Linked DNA regions of Arabidopsis thaliana. The protein of the gene in region 1 interacts with the protein of each later gene in a biochemical or structural test. Each region holds a gene or a part of one and is shown on either strand. Other genes may lie near its edges.

The links. The genes of interacting proteins can lie anywhere in the genome.
Region 2: the proteins of MYB90 (region 1) and ATMYC1 form a complex in vitro, tested with the Arabidopsis thaliana proteins (one study listed by BioGRID).

What each region holds. Positions count from the first base shown.
Region 1 is NC_003070.9:24,758,016-24,768,942, reverse strand, and holds MYB90 (myb domain protein 90), read right to left. Parts: upstream 5,003-10,927; 5' UTR 4,892-5,002; coding exon 4,771-4,891; intron 4,254-4,770; coding exon 4,124-4,253; intron 4,042-4,123; coding exon 3,543-4,041; 3' UTR 3,402-3,542; downstream 1-3,401. Other genes in the region: MYB114 (myb domain protein 114), read right to left, coding at 10,453-10,621, 10,693-10,822. UniProt on the Arabidopsis thaliana protein: Transcription activator, when associated with BHLH12/MYC1, EGL3, or GL3. Promotes the synthesis of phenylpropanoid-derived compounds such as anthocyanins.
Region 2 is NC_003075.7:212,929-223,855, forward strand, and holds ATMYC1 (basic helix-loop-helix (bHLH) DNA-binding superfamily protein), read right to left. Parts: upstream 6,854-10,927; 5' UTR 6,757-6,853; coding exon 6,608-6,756; intron 6,482-6,607; coding exon 6,194-6,481; intron 5,854-6,193; coding exon 5,757-5,853; intron 5,632-5,756; coding exon 5,617-5,631; intron 5,473-5,616; coding exon 5,416-5,472; intron 5,315-5,415; coding exon 4,826-5,314; intron 4,748-4,825; coding exon 4,337-4,747; coding exon of another isoform or gene 4,328-4,336; exon of another isoform or gene 4,306-4,327; intron 4,253-4,305; coding exon 4,192-4,252; coding exon of another isoform or gene 4,178-4,191; exon of another isoform or gene 4,114-4,177; coding exon 3,938-4,113; 3' UTR 3,884-3,937; downstream 1-3,883. Other genes in the region: ROPGEF3 (RHO guanyl-nucleotide exchange factor 3), read right to left, coding at 1-166; AT4G00467 (Calcium-dependent lipid-binding (CaLB domain) family protein), read right to left, coding at 1,918-2,014, 2,194-2,297, 2,474-2,609, 2,706-2,844, 2,934-2,999, 3,082-3,148; BAM2 (beta-amylase 2), read left to right, coding at 9,494-9,721, 9,794-9,871, 9,952-10,155, 10,257-10,451, 10,600-10,764, 10,892-10,927. UniProt on the Arabidopsis thaliana protein: Trancsription activator, when associated with MYB75/PAP1 or MYB90/PAP2.

The DNA of each region.
Region 1 (10,927 bases):
AAATGACCAACATTTCAGAAGTAATTTGCTAAACAACAAAAGTAATTAAGGGAAAGGGAAAAACAAAAACAATTGGAGTAATGTGGCTGCAAGTTGCAGAGTTTGGACATAATCCCATAACCATATATTTAACAATCATAGTTTAAATCCGTATAATGTATATTGTAAAAGAAAAAGAAAAAAGAAGCAAGTAACCATGTATTTAACGAATAGAGCGTATATAAATATTAATCAGCAGAATATTATCCATGATATACTTTTCAACATTTTCTCCACATATTTTTCTTTTACTGTAACAGAAAATCAGATATATACATTATAAAATGATATTCAATTTTTATGTACTTCAAATATCTAATAATTAATAGTGGCTAAAATATTTCAAATATGTAATAAGAAAATTATTATACTATTCCTATGAAATAGAATAAGTGAAGAACACAGTTGATGATAAGGAATTAGTAAGGGCTTTTTTTTGTGTAGAAATAGAGAAAGAAACGTGCATGGTCATCGTCCACGAACAATTTTCCAAATGAGACACAATCTCATAAAAGCGGTAAGAGTCGAGTCATCTTCATATACAAGTTCATTTTTTCACACTTTGGATTCATCCCAAGAAGGTAATCATACACAATCATTGTTTATTCTTTCAAAATGATAGAAATCATATCTTTTGTATTCTTTCAAAATGATAGAACTTGATTATACTTTAATGGACTTTTCCCGACATTTCTATGATATATCTAGAGAGATTTCAAAACAGAACATTATAATGCCAGCAATGTTTTTTAGAGCCAGAATAATTAATTTTTATGAAGTAAGCATCAACTTTTGTTTGAGTTGGAAGTTTATTGTTGTAGGGTTTGCTTGAAGAATTCTAAACTGCAAATTTGACATTAAAAGATTAGTAGGATAGCAAAAATATTAAAATATTATTAGCTATTAATTGATCATTAAAAGATTTTCTAAATTACTTATAATTTTAAAATATGCTAGATACATAAGAAAGGTACGTGTTATCTTTAACGTTTCATTAGTCCATGCAAATGTAACCATAAAGTTATTATAAATAATATATATATATATATATATATATATATATATATATATATTCGGCTAAATTAAGTTTTGAAATGTGGAATAAAACATGAAAAACTGCATATTAATTTAAGCCCATATTCACATCAATAATCTTGTCTTGAAAAAATGACTTAATGAATGTGCATTTGTTATTCTTTAGTGGTAAAGTAAAGATTTGTATATATATTTGGGAAGACTGAAAATATATCTACTGTATTTTCTTAAGATATACATGCGAAATATGACTGGCAGGTTCGTTATAGCTCTTAAACTTGAATGGTAGATTAGTGTGCGTGGACCGTTGTCCTCTTCTCTTCGAGTTAAAACTGTTTTAGGTACTTAATTCATTAATCAAACTTAGTTAATTGCCATTTACGTATGAGTCTTGCTACTTATGGTTTTAAGAAGAAGAAATTGTAGTGATTACTAAACCAAGAAGGGTAAATTCTTTGCGGAATAAATCATCCACTTTAAATCAAAGATACAATCTTTTTTTTCTTTCAAAGGCATATATATTTATTTATTTTTACGTTTTTACAATTTACATATACGACATTGAACATGTTGGAATTGGTAGATTCAATCGTAACACGTCTACGTGTCTAACCTTTCAATACCAAGTCCTTTCATGTTCTCGGGTTGGCCCATATTAGCAAAATTCATGACGTCTGCCGGTACACACGTATACGAAATTGTATTATTGTACACGAACATACTTACAAAACTCTAATCAAATTTCTAATAATTTTAATTAAATAATAAAATTTCAACGGTTACGGTTAAAACAACTTGGCAAGTCGAGCCAAAAAGATGTAGACGTTTCCGTAAGCTATTTCTATATTGCTTCATTGATACACGAATACACGTATGCTACGGAGTTAAATTGATACATGACAACATTGAGGGTCCAAAACTTACAATAAGGACAAGATTCTTTTAAGAGGAGCGATGAACATAGAATATAGATACAAAAATGGCGAAAGTTTCCATGCATCTTTTTTTTTGTCCCATGCAACTAGTTCAACCAAAAGAAAATGGATTTTACTTGCAAATTTTTTGTTACGTGAAGTCCATAGACATGAGGAAAAAGAAGGAAATCTCATGATGATAAATTGTAAATTTCCAGAAAAAACAAATTGTAGATTTCATGAAACATAATTAAATATTATTGATTTAATGTTATAAAGAATTATTAATCACAAAATGATGCTTTTAAGATCAAATTTCTCTCTTTTTTCTTAGGCCTTGAATGGTACTGGTTTTTAAAGTTGATTTTGGCTTTTAATTTTGTAAAATTCACTTTTTCATCCATTCATGATTTTATAAAAAATTGATTCCCTAAATTATAGGGAATCCAGATTTTTATAGATTCTAGTCATTTGTTCTTAAAATCCAAAACCCATTTTTTTGGGATTTTCAACAAATTCTATCGTAAACTCTTTTTTTTTTTTTTTTTTTGAAAAATAAAAATAAACTTTAAAATAAATAATTTTAAAACGTTTCTAAATAATAATTATATAAAAATCAAAAACTAGAAAAGTTACCATTTAAGATTTTGCAAAATCTAAAATCTCCACCAAAATCAAAAACTCATAAAATCAAAAACCAAAAGCCAAAAGCCAAAATTTAGAATCCAAAAACCCACCAAAATCAACAAAACATTCATGGCCTTAATCTGTAAGAACTTTAAAGCTTGGATAATTAGGAACAGAAAATATATCATATTTGAGAGTTAAATATATCATGCTTTTTTCCGCCGTCTTTCATTGAATCTTGCATGAAAAACGTAGAAATGTCAACAGTTTTGAGCAAACATAATCAATAATTAATATATGATTTCATATAACTACTCTAATTAATTCAGGAGAGTGGTGTGTGTCTGTGTGTGTGTGGTGGGGGGGGGGGGGGAGGGAAACAATTACAAGTACTACAATAGTACATTGTCATTTATTTGTTGCAGAACGAATAGTGTATCCATTTTTCCTAACCCTACTTGCTTCCATTATTGTATCAATCAAATAATTTTTGTAAGATAATATTAAATAATTATGTTTACTACTGTACTTAAACTAGCTATTATTTTAACGGTTAGACCAAACAGATCTTAATTATAACTTTCTTATGCTTGTGAAATACCACATTACCATACAACCTTCCACCATGTCTACTTGCCATAAGACATATCTTTCATGGTTAAAACTTTCTTATGCTTTTGAATTTTCTATGGTTAGGTTGAGTGATATTTTAACAAACATTATCACCTTTAACTTTAGTTAGAAAATACTGCATTTAGGAAAATACTGTATTTTCTTTGCGAAAAATATAAATAACGTTTTTTTTTATTACGTAGAAACATAACCATTTTTCTTAAAATGCTGAAATTCTTTACTTCATACAGAAAAATACATTACTAAAATACGAAAGAAAAGCCACCCACAATCTTAAACAAACGGTGAGAAACACTAATCAAGTTCAACAGTCTCTCCATCAAACAGACTCCAAAGTTGCTCAACGTCAAACGCCAAAGTGGCCCCATGTTCAGCTGTCGTCGCTTCAGGAACAATCGCATCAGCTTCTTGGTTTTCCCCCAGTAAATTCTCCAACCACATATTATCTCCATTCATTAGATTATTCACAAAATCATCTTTCTCATCATCTTTGTTACATGTGATACTATTTTCACAAACATTATTTTTCTTGAGTCCAAGGCATGAAGGAATTAAATCAACTTCTGGCAGACCATTGAGATGGCTGCAACCATTGTTAACAGAGAAGGATCGAGGTCGAGGCTTAAAAACACCGATTTTTTGGACCGGTGTTGTAGGAGGGGAAATAATGTTTTTCTTTTTCATTTTAGACTTACAACACGAAGACTCATGTTTTTTACTCAGATGGGTGTTCCAGTAATTTTTGACATCATTAGCGGTCCGACCAGGCAATCGACCAGCAATCAAGGACCACCTAAACATTGTTAAATAATATACATATAAGTTATTAGTGTTGAACTTATGGCTCTTGAAATAACCATTAAAGTAAACAATACCTATTTCCTAGAAGCTTATGAAGGCGAAGAAGAAGATCAACTTCATCATTGCTAAGTCTTCCTCTCTTGATACTTGGCTTCAAATAGTTCAACCATCTTAGTCTACAACTCTTTCTGCATCGATTTAGCCCTACATAACCAATAGTTGACATTAATTATACCAACCAAGACGGCTTTTGGGTCATTTTCTATGTTTCATCTTGAAGAATCTAAGCACACCAATAGAAAGATTAAACTGTTTCAACACAGTAACCGTTTGTTCATAAATTTTCACTGACTTCACTCACCAGAAGACAGCCCAGTGAAATAGTTTAACAACTTTACATGAGCTTAGCATCTTCCTTGTTTGTGAAGAATAAGCTATATATATATATATATATATATATATATATATATATATGCTACGTAAATAAAAAATAGTATAACTTTTTTATTTATATAAAACTCTTCGTTTAAATAAACTGCATAAAGAATTATTCTGAATAACCAGTTGTTTTTTTTGTTTTTTTTTGTTTTACCATACACTAGCATATGAATCAATAATTTGCTCCTTAAAACAAAAAGAAAAGTAAAATAAAGATTTCCGAATATTATATATAGAGAAGAGAATATTCTTAGTCATGAATATATCTGTGTGTGTAACATACCAGCTCTCAAAGGAACTTGATGCCATTTGCCTTCTCCATACTTATCAATACATAGCCTCAAGAGACTATCTTCTTCAGCAGTCCATGCACCTTTCCTCAACCCTTTGGACGAACCCTCCATGGACCAAAGAAAAATTAATATAAAAGTATTTTATCGGATTATTCTAAAACTTTTTTAAAAAAGGCCGAGGAATAGGGGGTTATTGTGGCTTCCCAAATCCTGGGAGGACTTATTGATAATGTGAGCATGTGAGCGAATAGGTATATATATACACGTGAAGGGCATAGGAAAATGACGTGCATGTTTGATATCCACATTTCATGTATTTGCGGTTCTGCTTAATTTACTAAGTTATTGTTTGATTTGACTAGAGAAAAAGTTCATAGCACCTTTTCCAGTACTTAAGAAAAACAAATTACACGTTTCTTATCAAAATTAGGAGAAAGGACTAGTAATGATTGGTCTCAGAGGGTTCATGATTACAAGGAAGAGTTATTTCATGCACGAGAAATAGAACAAAATAAAAAAAATAGGGTGCACCTTCTTACAAAAACTTTTGGAGTATTTTTCTTTACTGAAAATTTTGCAAATAATGTTCACAAACTCATATTTCGTCTTATCATTGTTACATGTGAATCTGATACCACCATATTTGTTAATGCTTACTTTGAAAGAGCTAACTTCTGGCTGCCCGTTGAGCCGGCCGTTATAGAATTGAGTTCGAGGCTTTATAACATTGAGTCTTTGGATCGGTGACGTAGCTGAACATGTAGTTTCCCTCTTTCTCATTCTGCTCTTACAACACGGTTCTTCTTTCTTGTTGAGATGGGTGTTCCGGTAATTCTTGACATTATTAGCGATCCGACCAGGCAATCTACCGGCAATCGGTGACCATCTAAGCTTGCATTGGAACAAGTTGTATTGGATAATTACATTATGTAAATAAATTAGATTTGTGTGTGAGGAATATAAACTTGTGTCTAATCAATATAAGTGACTCAATAGTTTACAACAATAGTATATATACCAGCTCTTAAAGGAACTTGATGCCATTTGCCTTCTCCATACTTATCAATGCACTGCCTCAGAGACTATCTTCTTCACCATCCCATGTACCTTTCTTCAACTCAGTGGACGAAGAAGCCTCCATGAACCAAAGATAATCACTAAAAGTATCACAACCAAATTATTTAAAAACTTATAAGTAAATTGCTGATGAAGAGGGTATACATACTATGGCTTACACAAATCCTTGAAAGACATTTGACAATGAGAGTATGTGAGCTATTATATATGTACAAGAAGAGCGTGCATGTTTGATATCCACATTTCATGTCAATATGCAATGATCGATTGCTTCCGTGGTTGCAAAGAGAACAAATTTTCCAAGCATGAAACACATAGCCATTGTGCTTCTAATATCTTCCATGCTTCCAGCCCAATTCATTTCTGGATTTGAAATACAACCCCAAGCTTGTGGTCCATTTAATGTAGCGTATAAATCGCTTAGCCTGCTTGAAGTAAAACATCTTGGGCTACTCATGTGCCGTGATAGATAGCTTATTTGCATAAGCAATACCTAGTCGTGTAGTTATCCGATAGAAGCGACTTCAATTCCCACAATAATTTGATACTCCCTTTCATCTGCCAATCTTTTTTCATTTCTATTTTATACTTTTTCACATTCTTTTTTGTCTCGACATCGTCGACCTCTTTTGGTCTCCACTAGTTGTTACTACTATATATGTAACTCTCAATGTAACATACAAGCTAAACCAAATAACTAAAAGTTACAACTTTCCACATAGTACTAGGTTCTAATCAATGCTATGCGTGGACGTAAAATTTATAAGAAAAATATATATTATTTGATTACATTTATCATCTGATTTAATTATTTAATTATTTTCTATGATTAAATATTTTTGATGATGCACATATTTCTTTGACATGAATACAGAAAAAATAACAGTAATCTATCCTTAACATTGCAAATTATATATAACTTTTGCCTTTTGGTGGTGCAGATTTCACTGTGAAAAATGAGTTTTATGCAAAAAAAAAAAAAAAAAAAAAAAAAAAATCCTTCAAAAATGTTTTCTACAAGTTTACCCCCCCCCCCAATTTATAAAGAATGCAGATCAAACTTAGGAAGTTGAATTTAATGTGCAACATAACCATAACGTGCATCTTAAATGAGTTTAGTACAGTCACATATATTAGTATTCTTAAATTCGAAAAATAGGCTTTTTATTGTAAAAGTTTTGATTTGATATAATATTTATTACAATTTTGGAAAATTGAAAGTGGTGACCGATGATTATATTGCAGGTTAAATTAGATTTCGTGGAGTTGATTTTTATTATTTGCAACTTGAAGGTAATTACAGTTATATTTTATCTCTCTAAGAGAAAAGACTACCATCCTTTATAAACATGCAGACAATGATATTTTTATAATTTGGATAGTTTTTTCCTTGCCAAAAACCCTAACAACAATGGCTATTACAATTATTTTAGCTCTCTTAGAGAAAAGACTAGTAAGTTTTCTTTTATAAGAAAGTTATAGCGCAAAAAAATATACATATATATTTGCTAAAAAAGCGAGAATGATCTATAACCTTTTTTAAATAACCCTTTACTACTTAAAAAAAAAACTAGTTTCCTTGGATAATCTATCACTTTGAGACTAAATTACAGTAATTGGTCTTTTAATATTATTCGACAAAAAAAAAAATGTCTTTTGAAAATTATTTCATCCGTTTTACATATTTTCTTATATTTTAGTGTGTGACACATTCCCAACAACAACTAAAACCAATCACCTTAGCTTAGTTCTTCTTTTGAGAATCGTGTATAGCAAATTGGATTGATACATATAATCAAAAATGAGTCAACATGTTCCAGATAAGTTCCTCTTTGATCATGTGGTGAGCAGATCCCTAAGCAATGAGTTTCCCAAGAATCCATTATAGATAATCATCCAGACCGAAGCTCAAATGACAAAATAGTTCTTGCTCAACACTTAAGCATGTTTGAATCGAACCAAATACTATAACACGTTTACGTTCACAACACACATGTTAAATTTATGCTACTATTGATAATAAATTGCTGAATACGAAATTAAAATTTTTATATGATACATCCAAAATTCAGTGTCTCACACTATATATAATTATTTTAATCATAATCTACTTTTTATCAATAAAAACCTCGTTTTCTTAAATTTATCATTAATAACGTTTATTTTCAACTTTTTGTATCTTACTTATCTAACATAATATGTAATAATATAATATTTCAAAATATAAAGCGAAGATATTTTTTTCTCTGGGGTACAAAAAGGGAAAGAAACGTGCATGCGCCATTGTCCACAAACAATTTCACAAATGAGACAGAATCTCATAAAAGCGGTAAGGTGTGAAGTCATTTTCATATAAAAGTCTCCAGTTTGGGTCCAATACTTTCCACTTTGGATTCATCCCACGTACGAAGCTAATCATACACAATAATTGTTTATTTTCAAATTTATAGAAATATACCGTAACTTTAATAGACAGGTATTATCAAAAAAAAAAAAAAAAAGCTTTTATAGACAGACATTTCTTTTCAACTGAACATCGTTCAAATATCAGATGACAGAGACTGTGATTATTATTATTTTGAGTAAAACAGACTGATAATTTCATATCCAGAGAATATTCCGAAAACAGCATTTTATATACTCTAAACATCATCCTCTCTCTTTTTCTATGCTAGCACTTGAGCCAACATTATATGACTTTTCTGAATGTTTTTGTTGTATGACTTGCGCTCAAAGAATTCTAAGTGATATTCACAAAAACTATACTTCTGTTTTAGAAAAATATTGACTAAATGAATGTACAATTGTCATTCTTACTGTTTTTTGCTTGTTCTGTTTTGGTGAACATTTTTTTTGCTTGTTTAATTGTCATTCATTCAAACCATTCTAACCGGTCAGTTTTTCCGAAGAATGAAGAGTTATATTTTTTGTTAATATAATTTATATTTTATCTGACTAGTGGTTAGATAACTTAGGTTAGTAGTTGAATGGCAAGTTATGCGTTGTGCGTTGAATGAAGTTGAAAATCGAACCGAACCAATTAGACCCTACAAATACATCATCAGGTCCTTTGAATATCTAATAGTTTACCAATATCTACTGTATACGTGCCAAACAAATTTCAGACTAGACGTCCATCTAAATGCTCATGAGCCTTCAGTAATTCCGCATGAGACTCTAAGCACTCCAATTTATTTATTTAAGCGTTCAAAATAAGTATTGATCGTCAAATGGGCCAAACCAACGGGTTTAATGACATTGTTTAAGATAAGTGAAATTAAGAAAATAATATTATTTTTTTGTAAAAACCTTATCGACTGATCCGCGATCAGCCCTCGTAGAAAAGAAAATAATTAAGATGCATGACTATTAAAATTATACATTATTATTTAGTTAGTACCGATTTTTTTACTTTACTAATGGAACTATACTAACTAGTTTTCATATAAACTAGGTGTAAACAGATATTACAAATTCAAATAAATAACGTTTTTAGCAATCCATATTGTACAGATTATATGTTTTGCTATCCAATTTATGAAAGAAAAAAAAAATTAAACAATTTTTCTAACTAGACCTTGTTTAGACTCCTATAAATTGCTCTAGACATGTTAGGTCCCTACAGAACACCTAATTACATTCTAACAATTTTTTGAACATTGGATCCAACACGAAATCAAAGTAAGCCAGAATTGAATGTACTCGATTATTATATTTTGCATATACGGCGTTGAACATATTGGAATTTGATAGATCTTTTAAACAATTTGTAACACATGTGTAAGTGTGTGACCTTTCAATATAAAACACCAATATATCAATCACTCTATCAGAAGTCCATTTCCGTTCTCCGGTTGGCCCATAGCAAAACACTATGCACGTACAAGAATCTATTATTATATAGCGCATACTTACAAAATCTAATGTCTCTGTAGTTACTAATATATGATACAAGTTCAACGGTTGCTGTTAAGAAAATTAGGCATGTATATTGCCAAAAAGATATATACATTGTACAACACCATTGGTCCAAAACTTATGAAGTAATGAAAATCCAAAATTCCAAATGCAAATAATCTCAAATAAAAATCTAAAATTCCAAAATATATATATTCTTATTTTTTTATTTTTTACAAAATGTAAACTCACACAGAAACGGAAACATAAGGTTTGCCTAAAATACTATAAGATATTAGTTAATTTAGAAAATAGATACTAAATTAAATAGAGAAACCTCACAAACAAGAGAACACAAACGTTTATAAACACTAATCAAAGATCACAGTCTCTCCATCGAACAAATTCCAAAGTTGCTCAACGTCAAACGCCAAAGTGCCCTCCTTTTCTGTTGCCGCCGCTTCTGTAACCAGCACATCTACCTCTTGGCCCTCGTCTAGCAAACGCTCCAACCATATATTATCTCCAACCATAAAATTATCCACAAAATCATCTTTCTCATCATCTTTGTTACATGTGATACTATTTTCACAAACATTATCGTTGTCGAGTCCAAGGCATGGAGGAATTACACCAACTTCAGACTGTCCATCGAGATGGTTGCAGCCGGTTTTTATAGAGAAGAATCGAGGCCGAGGCTAAAAAATATCGACTTTTTGGGCCGGTGTATTAGGAGGGGTTATAATATTTATCCTTTTTATCTTAGTTTTACAACACGGTTCATGCTTCTTACTCAGATGGGTGTTCCAGTAGTTCTTGACATCATTAGCGGTCCGACCAGGTAATCGACCAGCAATCAAGGACCACCTACGTATACATACGAGTTACTAGTATTAGACTTATTGCTCGTTAAATAAGTAGAATAAAGTAAATTATACCTATTTCCTAGAAGCTTATGAAGACGAAGAAGAAGATCAACTTCATCAGAACTAAATTTTCCTCTCTTGATACTTGGCTTCAAATAGTTTAACCATCTTAGTCTACAACTTTTCCTGCACCGATTTAGCCCTACAAAACCAATAATTGACATTAGTTAAACCTAAGAAGATTGCTGTCTCTTTCTATAATTTTATCATAAAGAATCTATGCACACCAATAGAAACAATGTACTAT
Region 2 (10,927 bases), on another chromosome or scaffold:
GGTCTGAAAACCCTGAAGTGGTCTCTGAACAAGTTCGAGGGTAAACAAAGGAATCTATGCTCATCGTCGAGTAAACCGGAGTTTCTACTGCTGATTGATCATTTTGGTCAATGGATCTAGGTGATTGATGATCGTCGTTTTCATCTGGATTCGATAAATTCTCCATCTTTAAAATCTTAAAACACTCCTTAAAGGTCTGTTTTTTTTGTTCTTGCTCTGTTTCTTCTGAAGAAATAACACAAAAAAAATGTAGATATAGCAAAAAGCTTTGGAATTGTGATAATCAAGAAACTTTAGAAATTTGAAAGCGGGAGGTTTTTGGATAGTGAAATTTCTTAGTTCCAAAGAACAATAAAGCAAGAAAGCAGAAAGCAGAAAAAAAGAACCATAAAAATCAGATCAAATGACTATAAAAATCGCAATTTTATTGAAAATTTCACCGGAATTCAAAAAAAAAGTAAGTAAGTAACGATCAAGAACTAAGAGAAAGTCTGAAACTTTAAATTTGAAAGGAAAAGAACGTTAAAGTTAAAATCAAAGCAACGGTCTTTATTTAATATCATACCTTTAAAGCTTCTTCTTGAATTTGAAACGTACGTTTAAAGCAAAAAATTTGAACGTTAATAAAAAAACCAAATTCCCTCCGGTTGAATCGAAATCGTTCTTTAAGCCGGCGACCGGAAAATGGAGTAAATGTGGACCGTCCGATGAAAGGAAGGTAGACTGATCGTACGATCCAGACGATGAATTGAAGTGACTTTTCCTTGGCTTCAACAAGTGTTTTTGGTTCTATGAGAAATCATACAAATACCTCTTTAACACCTATTTGTCTATTTGGCTACTATACTTTATCATTTTCTTGTTGGCTTAAAATATAGACTATAGTTTTCAATCAGAATTTTTCATTTTGATTATTGGATCCCTCCACACCCACAAATAAATTATTAGCTCCAATGGGAAATTATACATATGTTTAGTTATTGATGATTGCACATTCGACCAATGATCAATTTATATATATTTTCTTTTCACTTTTACGAATTTAGACATCTAATGTAAATTTAGAATTATAATTTGTTGAACCCCATATATGTATTCAATTATATGAAAATATCTTTGATTGAAGATGAGATGTGGGTGAATGTTCAATGTATATATCATCCCTTGACCTTTATATTTTTAAGAAGTAATCTTTGGTCGGTCTATAGTAACACCTCCATTGGGAATTTTATTTTAATTCTATGTGTCAACCGTTTATTAAATTAGACCAATTATCACATGGTTGGAGATTGGCTTATCCCCATGTAGCCTACACGATGAACCGCAACTCATAATAGGTTAATATTTATATTAGTGTAATGTATTATGGTTTCAATTTGAGTTGTATAGTTATAATTTAGTTTAGCACATGATAAGTTAATGTAATGGAGAAGACAAGTATATATTTGCATGGTTCGTGCGTTAGACAGACGTGCGTCCCATTTTCTCGTTGTACACGCATTTTACGCATTTACTTAATCTATGGGTCATTATTTTAGTGTACTATGGACTATGATATTATACAATATTAATAAGTTTCAACATATACACCTTTATTTACTTGTTGAGATATGTTCCATATACTTATATTTTAAAAATAAACTTAATATAAGTATGTCTAACATATTCAACAAATTTTAGTTAATAGAAAGTGAACTAAGGAGTATAGACAATGCATACATATAACTAGGTAGCAAAAAATTAGTAATTATATGGGTTGAAAAATTAAATGAAAGTAAGAAAAATGTTACATCAAAAGATATAAATGTAGACCATTCATTACATTAAAAGATTGAAGGTGAAAAAGATTAAAGTCATCAACAGTTTCGTATTCTTGCCCATCACGATACCGTGAAAGGGTTGATCGAGAAACCCTAGCTACGAATAAGGAGTAAGGCATTTCTTATAGTCGACGAAACAATAAAGTAGTTTTGCATTGATGAGACATTGCCTTCTTGCCCATGCAGCTATAAACCTAAAATGTTTGCACAAACTTAGAAATCAAATAAATGTCATCGCTTTCCTTGACAGGCCCGAACCATAGAAAATTATTGGAAACAAAATTTAATAGAGTTTTGATGCTAACCCTTTTAATCATTTTAGTTCTCTTTTAGTTGATATTGTTTTGTTTTCCGAAAGCAATAGAGCAGAAACCTTAGTAATGGGAGTTTCATCAGATTCTGAATTGGAGAAATCATTAGTTCTTCACTGTTTTTGGCCTCCATCTTCAGCTCCCATGCTTTCCTCTGCAATTTATCCTACAAAAATAAATAAATTTTCTTGAGAAATTTTGAGATTATATGTTATTGTCGATGTTCTTGAATATTTCAATGTGCTCAAACACCAAAAAGTACTAGTAAAAAGATGAACCTAAGATTAATAAGTCTCCACAAAGATTCTCATGAAATTCTAGGATAGTTACCGAGTTACTTACTGTTGCAATGAATCTCAATCCGACTTTTAGTTCACCTTTAAAAGTATCGTCCTCAAGAACAACATTGTATGGAGCTGGTTTTATTTCAATGTATCCTCTGTCACGCCCTTCGGTTATTATGCCTCCGAGATGAATTCTGTACCAAAAAGAGTCACAAACAAAAGGATGGTACTATATGTGATATTGCTAATGCTAAACCACATTAACTTCAGTTTCTGCAAGCAAAACTTACATGGTTTCACCGACAAATCCACCATCATTGAAGAGCTCTTTGTCCAAGATTCTTAATTTGATATAGGTCAGTTTCTTCCATTGAGACATCGGGAAATCGAAAACAAACTTTTGGTTCCACAATGCATTGTCATTATCACCTTTTTTCATAAAAGAGCCAAAAATGTTTTCTAATATACATTTGGCTAAGAGGAAAAACAAAATTACTAAAGAGTAACAAAACTTGAACCTTTTGACATTTTGCTACGGTATTCCTTTGTCCCACATTGTAAGAGCACATAATACACAGGAGTTCCTACAAACCAAAATGATTAAAAATAACGATTTTAGTTTGATATATAACATATATGAAGAAGGTTTTGTCTTTTCATAATCACCGATAAAATTTGTGTGTGTGATTCCATGAGCATCAATGAGAAATACTTCCAATATCCCTCTCTTCATATGTGACATCCAAGAAAATCAAATACTCAAAAGACTTTAAGAAATTAAGAAGTAGTGTATGGTAATTAGCGTGAAGGCTGCATCAATTGGAGATATATAATGCAAGTGAAACAATCAAATTTTATAACGCACCATAACATTTACTACTTCTTTGGAGGCTCTATGAGTTACAAGAGAACACCATTAATTATGCATTCAAGAAAGAATCAACAGTTTTCAATAAATACCTTTTCAAGTTACATTATCCTCCGTTTAGTAAATATCAATCCGTTTATTTAAGGATTTAGAAAGAAACTGAAGCACAGAATCACACATGACGACCTAAACGAAGCATAATATCAAGAGGTTGAGGCTACGAGACAAGTTTAGGGCTTTTGGCGAGCGCTAGCTTTTCTAATCAAACGGGTTTAATACGGCCCAAAAGCCCACTAAACCTAATAGCCTATGAGGACCAAATCAATTACTTGAGGTTTAAGGTACAACTTATTATGATAATGTCGGCAGAAAAATTGCATTAGTAACTTTAACAAATCCCACATCGGAAACATATGGAAATTTTAGCTAGTATATAAGACAGATTTAGTTCAAGCATTAGTAACCAATTGGCTTTGAGGTGGATAAAGCTCATTAGCTTTCCCATGAGATCATGATCCTTGACCCAATAGGGTTCATTCAAATTACAATAGGATATGTATATGATCCATCCTCTTCACGGGAAAGAAGTTGAGCCAAAGCCAATTGGTTATTTTTTTCTATCAATACAAATAATATAATAGCTCAAAACAATCATTAATGAAAGATACAAATCGCCCATGAATTATGAATAAGTATAGATCTTGGTTTTGTAGAAGAGGAAGAGACAACGTTGTCGAAAATTCCAACCAAACTTTGGCAAACTTTACATACAAAAACCCTGAAAACTTGATGTAAAGATAATGGCACATCGCATATCGGTTCACGAAAGTCTAGATAAATATAACATTTCATCAAAAGTTTAAGAAAATATAAGAATTTTTACTAAGAAGAACATTAAAACAAATCACCAATGACTCTTCTCAGCTCTCGCTTAATCATTCCTACGGACGCAACTGCAGCCCCGCGAAACTGCATGCATAAACCCAAAAACGTTACGTGTAAGTCAAGAAAACCCAAATCTGCCTTTTCCAAACATCAGTAAGATTAATTTACCTTGGCCTTGAGATTCAATGTGAGGAACTTATTGAGCGTGTGAGATCTAACAGAGAAAGCATCCATGTGAAGATTGCTCAGAGTTTCCATGATGTCCGCAACTATGTAGTCTCTGTAAGAACATCTTACTTCGATCACAACTTCTGTTTCTTTGAGTTTAACTCTCAAATGTGTCTTATCTCTGAAAACAGTGACTTGTTCGGTTTCTCCTGAATTGTCATCGATCTTCGTGCTATCATCGTAGTTCCCTGATGTCTCTTCGATCAACACAGAGTCGTTAAGGTTCTCTGTCGTCTTTCTTTGTCTTTCTACAAAATTAACTGATCCCATACAAGATTCTAGCTCTTCTACTCTTGCCTCCAGTTCTTGCAGGTACTTGATTGTGTTGTTTAGTATCGATTCTTTATCAACCTGCACAAAGATTCAAAACAGAGTGTTGGCTTCTGAAACACAGTCTTGTCTCTAAGGATTTAGAAAAAGAGTTATTACCTCGTTGACAGTGGGAACCATAGTTCTAAGGACACTGAACTTTTCGTTCTCTTTTCTTCTATCTGAAGGATCATCTTGATTCAGACCAGAGTTCTGACTTGGGAACATTCTCTTTGTGTGCATCAAAGGGACATCATGCAATATCTTCCGCAACACATTCTGTGACTTTTTTTTCTGAACAAAACCCGAGACTTGCTGCTCACATTGCTTCCACCGCAAGAAACTTGAGCCAGGTTCAGAAGTAACAATATTTGGCTGACGATGACGAATGTTCTTATCGTTCTTACCTGATCTATCTGCGGAGTAGTTGAGTACTGTTGAAATGGTTCTTTTGTAATGCAAGTCTTCATCAGAAATACCTAATGGAAGCTGATGCTTCTCTTCACTGATCTTAATCTCCATCTTCTTCTCGTCATCGTTGTCTTGGTGTGCAGATATTTCCATCAAGCAAGATTTGATGTTTCGAAGCAGGTTATGGTCTTCTGAAATCTTTCATTGATCATGAACAAAATTAAACAAAGTAAGGTATATTTAATTCTTGTGAAGCAAGCAACAAAAGTAAAACTTTATATATTAAGATGGAGAGTTACCAATTCAGTGACGCCCAGCTCAATGACTCCGCCCAAGTAAGGGAAACACACAACAGTCTGGAGATAACAACACAGATACATTCTATAAATCTTCTATCCAAATTGATATATAGATAACTAAACTTTCATTTCTAACAATAAGAGAACTAAACTTTTATTTCTAACAATCAGAATCCAGTTATAACAAACATTATAACGTACCTGAATTGATGCGCTCTAAAGGAGAGAAGCCATATGAACAGTAATGAAAAGCAAAGAAGATCAAAGGAGATTTTTAGTCAGATTCGATCTTGATATATCAAGATTCAAGAAGAGGAAATTAGAAGTTTCTGAGAACTTACTCTTGCTAACAAAGAACGAGAGAAGAGCTTGTTCTCCGCATATTGAGCGTTGCAGAGCCATATGGTCTCACCCGTCGCTGAAGCTCTTCCAGGCAAACTAAAGTATATACATAAACAACCAAAAAAGCCAAAATGACAATAATTAATGATCATAAAAGAGAAAAAAAAAACTTAATCTAGGATTACTTAAAATGCAAAAGGTGAAAGTGTAACAAAAAGGAACCCCAAAGGAATAATCACTCCACTATTTACCAAATGGTTTTGGTGGTACTAAACTCTTTACCCAAAGTGATGGATGTTTCATCTTAAAATGAAAGGACATTTCTCATTACTTCTTTATTGCAAATTGGTTTTTCTATATGAATAGTTCACAAGAGCTAATATATTTTAGTGTACAAATTCATAGGAGAAGAGAGAGAGAGAGTGAGAGAACAAACCATTGTGAAGGAGAGAAGACATAGGACATGGAGACTAAATAGTACCACTCTTCATCAGAGAGGTCATCTGGTGACAGCATCATACTTGTACTGTGACAATTATCATCATCATCATTGAGATTATCATGAGTAGTACTAACAGTAGTACCACTGTCTCCTTCAAGCATAGACAAATAAAGTTTCCGAAGCTCCTTGCTTTTTTGCAACCCATATTTATAATGAGATTCATAACTCTTCTTCCTCTTCTTCATATCTCCATTGTAACATCCTTCTCCCCACTCCAAAACCCTAAATTAGTAGAACATAGTACTCATAAGTAACCCAAGATTTAAAAGAAGAGAAAATGGAAATGCAAAGATGAGAACAACAAGATCTGATAATTTTGGTACATGATGAATATTAGATTATACTTACCCAGGTTGAGTAAGTGAAGACGACCAGAAGATTGCGTAGCTCCATTGAACACTTCTTACAGCTAAAGCAAGTTGTTTTCTTAATAAGCTGTTTTGTCTTTTACTTCTTCCTGCTGCAGCTTCTACACCATCAGCCATTGTCAAAGACATATCTAGATATCGTGAAGAACTGAATTTAAAAGTATGGAACCAAAGTGATTGATAAAGAGGAGACAACCAAAAGGCAAAATTTATTAAAGAAGGGTTTGGTATTGAAGCTTTATTTCCTTTTCTTTCTTTCTTTATTGCTTTCTCTTTCTCAGCTTGGTCCTGATGGAAAGTCTTAAAAGAGTGTCTTTAAAGTTGAGTACTGTGTCTGAATTATGAGAGAGAGTGGTTGACTTGGGTCATGATCTTGGTTTTTGGAGTGACTTATCTTTATACAATACATATGGTAATAGTGTTGGATTCTATTTGGTGAAAACCAAGGTAAAATATTCTCTAAATTAGTGATGATGCTGAAAAATATTGCAAAAAGAAAGATTCAATATAGTTTTTTTGTTTCCTCCTATTCATTTAGTCAAAAGCTTGGTTATTACTACTATACTAGGTGATTGGCCAACATCATGCATGGATATGAATCATAAATTTAAGACCGATCTTTTTAACTCTTTTGGATTTGTGTTGTCTTAAATCCACTATGATGTTAGAGTTTATCGTGACACTTTTTAAAGAATACAACTTGAGATAGTTTGACCATAATGATTAATGTTTTGATGATTTCATATTATAGGTTTGGTTTGGATAGTTAATATCCAACAAGAGACAATATAAATACATGTTGATATTACATTGTACTTATAACTAATTTAGATGAATACACTTATGAAATCAACAAAGTAGAGATTCTTAGATTCTTAGTTAAACTTGTGTTGGTTTATATAAACTTAGTTACTTTTTTTTTCGTGTTAAGACATGTCGGGGTCTTATTGTCTTACAATCATTATATATTTGTATCTATCTTGTTGTGTGGAAATGGAACGTATCGACCTACATTGTTTTTTTGTGTTTTGGTAAACGTATCAAGTATCAACATACTTTAACAACCAAAAAAATTGAACTCTTTGTCTGGCTCACATCAATGAAGATGATTAATTTTTTGTTACTCGATCTTAAATATATGACAAACAGAATGTAGTTATACGTAGTTGCAAGAAAATGGAATATACTATTTGGATAGTGAAGATTCTAGTTTCTATGATAGATATAAATGCGCATTTCACCCGAATAATTCCATGATACTCTAATAGATTATATATTAAACAAATACACACTACTGTTCAAGTTTGATAATCAATCGCGAGACATCGCATATACCGATCGTTATTTGTTTACCATCAAAGCACTATTTTGTCCGAAGTAAGTAAATATAGCAAGTGGCAGTAAAAAAATAGTAATAAAATTGAAGGCAAGATCAGGAGAGAGCTGGCTGAAATGAAGGCAAGAAACTCGTGAAAATAATAATTGATCCATCTCTATCCACGAAGCCCTACATAATTTAGTAACGCACCACTTGTGGTTGCATGCACATTTATTTCCATAACGACAAAACTTTGTGTTTAATTTTATAAATTATTTCTGTTGGCACAACACACTCATTATAGCCATATGTTTGTGTTTATATTTTCTATTTTCATAGAAACAATTAATTTAATTTTAGATGCCCTAGACATTTTTTAAATGTATATAATAATAAAATTATAGTATAAAAGTCTATATATTACCCTAAATTTTACAAAACATATACAATCCTAACCAATGGGATCCTATATCAAATTGCATTCAGGATGAAAAAGAAGCGACATGAACCACGACAAAGAGAAAAGTTAGATAAATTTAAAGTTGAGTGAGAACTTGAAGTCTTTAATTCTCATTATACAAGCAACAATTTTCTTTCTTCGGAGAGAAAGAAATGAGAGATTGCACAACACTTCAAGTTCTCTCCTAAGATTGTTTTGTGGCAGATTGACATAACCATCCGTGACAATATCGCAAAGGTTGTGGAAGATTGTTGTCCCAATGGTTCACCCAAACCTAGTTACTATAGTTGGGTCTTGACTTGTATTAGTTTCAGTTTTTTTTTTTTTTTTTTTTGTTGGGGTCCATATCTAGAAGCTGTCCCAAAGTAAATAACAATGTTTCTTTTGGTAATAGTAATTCACATTTTATCCTTAAAAAATCTTCAAAAAATGAATATGAAAGTTACGACTTACGAGAGAAATGCAATTGTAAAATAATGAAATTCAAATTTAAAGCTTCAATGATTTTGTTAAGACAGAGAGACGTAGCGCATTGATTACAGACGCGACACATCTGACATACAACATTTGCCACTACAATGCACGACTGTCTTCGGATTAATACATTAATGTTACATCGTTAGTATCAATCTTACAGATTATAAATAGCTTAGCCGATTGTTTAAGATAGTATTATTCTAAATTCATATACACTCGTGCAAGTACAACAACACACTAAAGTTATTAAATAATAAACACATTTGATGTAGATAAACTACTTTTTTTAGTGACGTGACTTTACAGGCCCAATAATATATTCTGAAAAGCCCATAGTAATATTCACAAAAGCCCCTTGATAAAGTTGCAACGCGCGTACTTATCTGACGTGTCAGGTCACGCCACGTGGATTAGAAAAAAAGTGGTAAAAGACAAAACCCTTTTGTACTCAACGGATCTGAGTGAATCCTGAAAACTTTTTTAGGATTTCAAAATTGATTTGAACCAACCAATGATTCTTGGATCCCATGAATAAGCCTTCACGTGGCTTTTGATTTCACATTCCACGAAAATCCAATTTTAACTGAATTTGAGATAATTTTGGTTTAGTGATGGCGATTAGGTTGAATCATAGTGTAATTCCAGTGAGCGTGAAGCTTGGAGCTCCGACGAGAGTATCGGCTCGGAGCTCGTTACCGTTCAGCGTTGGAGATTGGCGTGGTGTTTCTACATTTTCCGGTGCTAGGCCTTTGGTTCTCGCGAAGGTGAAACTGAGAGCAGAGAGTACTGAGGAAGATCGAGTTCCAATTGATGACGACGACGATTCTACTGATCAGCTCGTAAGTGTGGAATTTCATTTGGATGATTCACTCGTTTGTGACCAGAATCAATTTTACTCTTCGTTTTGTTAGGTTGATGAAGAAATTGTGCATTTCGAAGAGCGTGATTTTGCTGGCACAGCGTGTGTTCCTGTATATGTTATGCTACCAGTGAGTCTTCTTTTGATTTTATTTTTGTTGGCTAGAGATTTGTGTGTGTGTTTGGTTGATTTGGCTGTTGAATGATGTAGCTGGGAGTGATTGATATGAACTCGGAAGTGGTGGAACCGGAGGAGCTTTTGGATCAGTTAAGAACTTTAAAGTCGGTTAATGTTGATGGTGTTATGGTTGACTGCTGGTGGGGAATTGTTGAGTCACATACACCACAGGTTTATAACTGGAGTGGTTACAAGAAACTTTTTCAGATGATTCGTGAGCTTGGACTTAAGATTCAGGTAATGTTATTTGATCGATGAGTCTCAGTTCAGTTTAGTGAAAGATATGCAGAGTTGAGGATGAACCTTTTTAAAGTGTTCTTGACTTGAATTGACTTCAGGTTGTTATGTCGTTTCACGAATGTGGAGGCAATGTTGGAGATGATGTGCATATACAAATCCCTGAGTGGGTGAGAGAAATTGGTCAAAGCAATCCTGACATCTACTTCACTGACAGTGCTGGCAGGCGTAACACTGAATGCCTTACTTGGGGAATTGACAAGCAACGTGTTTTAAGAGGACGGACTGCTCTTGAGGTATGGCTTTCTACTACTCCATGCTAAAAAATCTGTAGCAAATTATCATTCGAAGAATGTAATCTGCAGCGAGTTGTAGTAGGAAGAATGAGAAGTTGATCTGTAATAAGAAGTGTTTACTGACTCTATGAAATCACTTGTTATGTAGGTTTACTTTGATTACATGAGAAGCTTTCGTGTGGAATTTGATGAATTCTTTGAGGAGAAAATCATCCCTGAAATTGAAGTTGGACTAGGTCCATGTGGGGAGCTGAGGTATCCTTCATACCCTGCACAATTTGGGTGGAAATACCCTGGTATTGGTGAATTCCAGGTAATCTTTTTGACGCATCATAAGCGTATACAAAATTACATTATTATCTTACATTGCTATTTGGACAACTAATTTATTAGTTTACTTACCGATATATCTTCTCTGCTGTGCTGTCCTATCTGCGCAGTGTTATGATAAATATTTGATGAATAGCTTAAAGGAG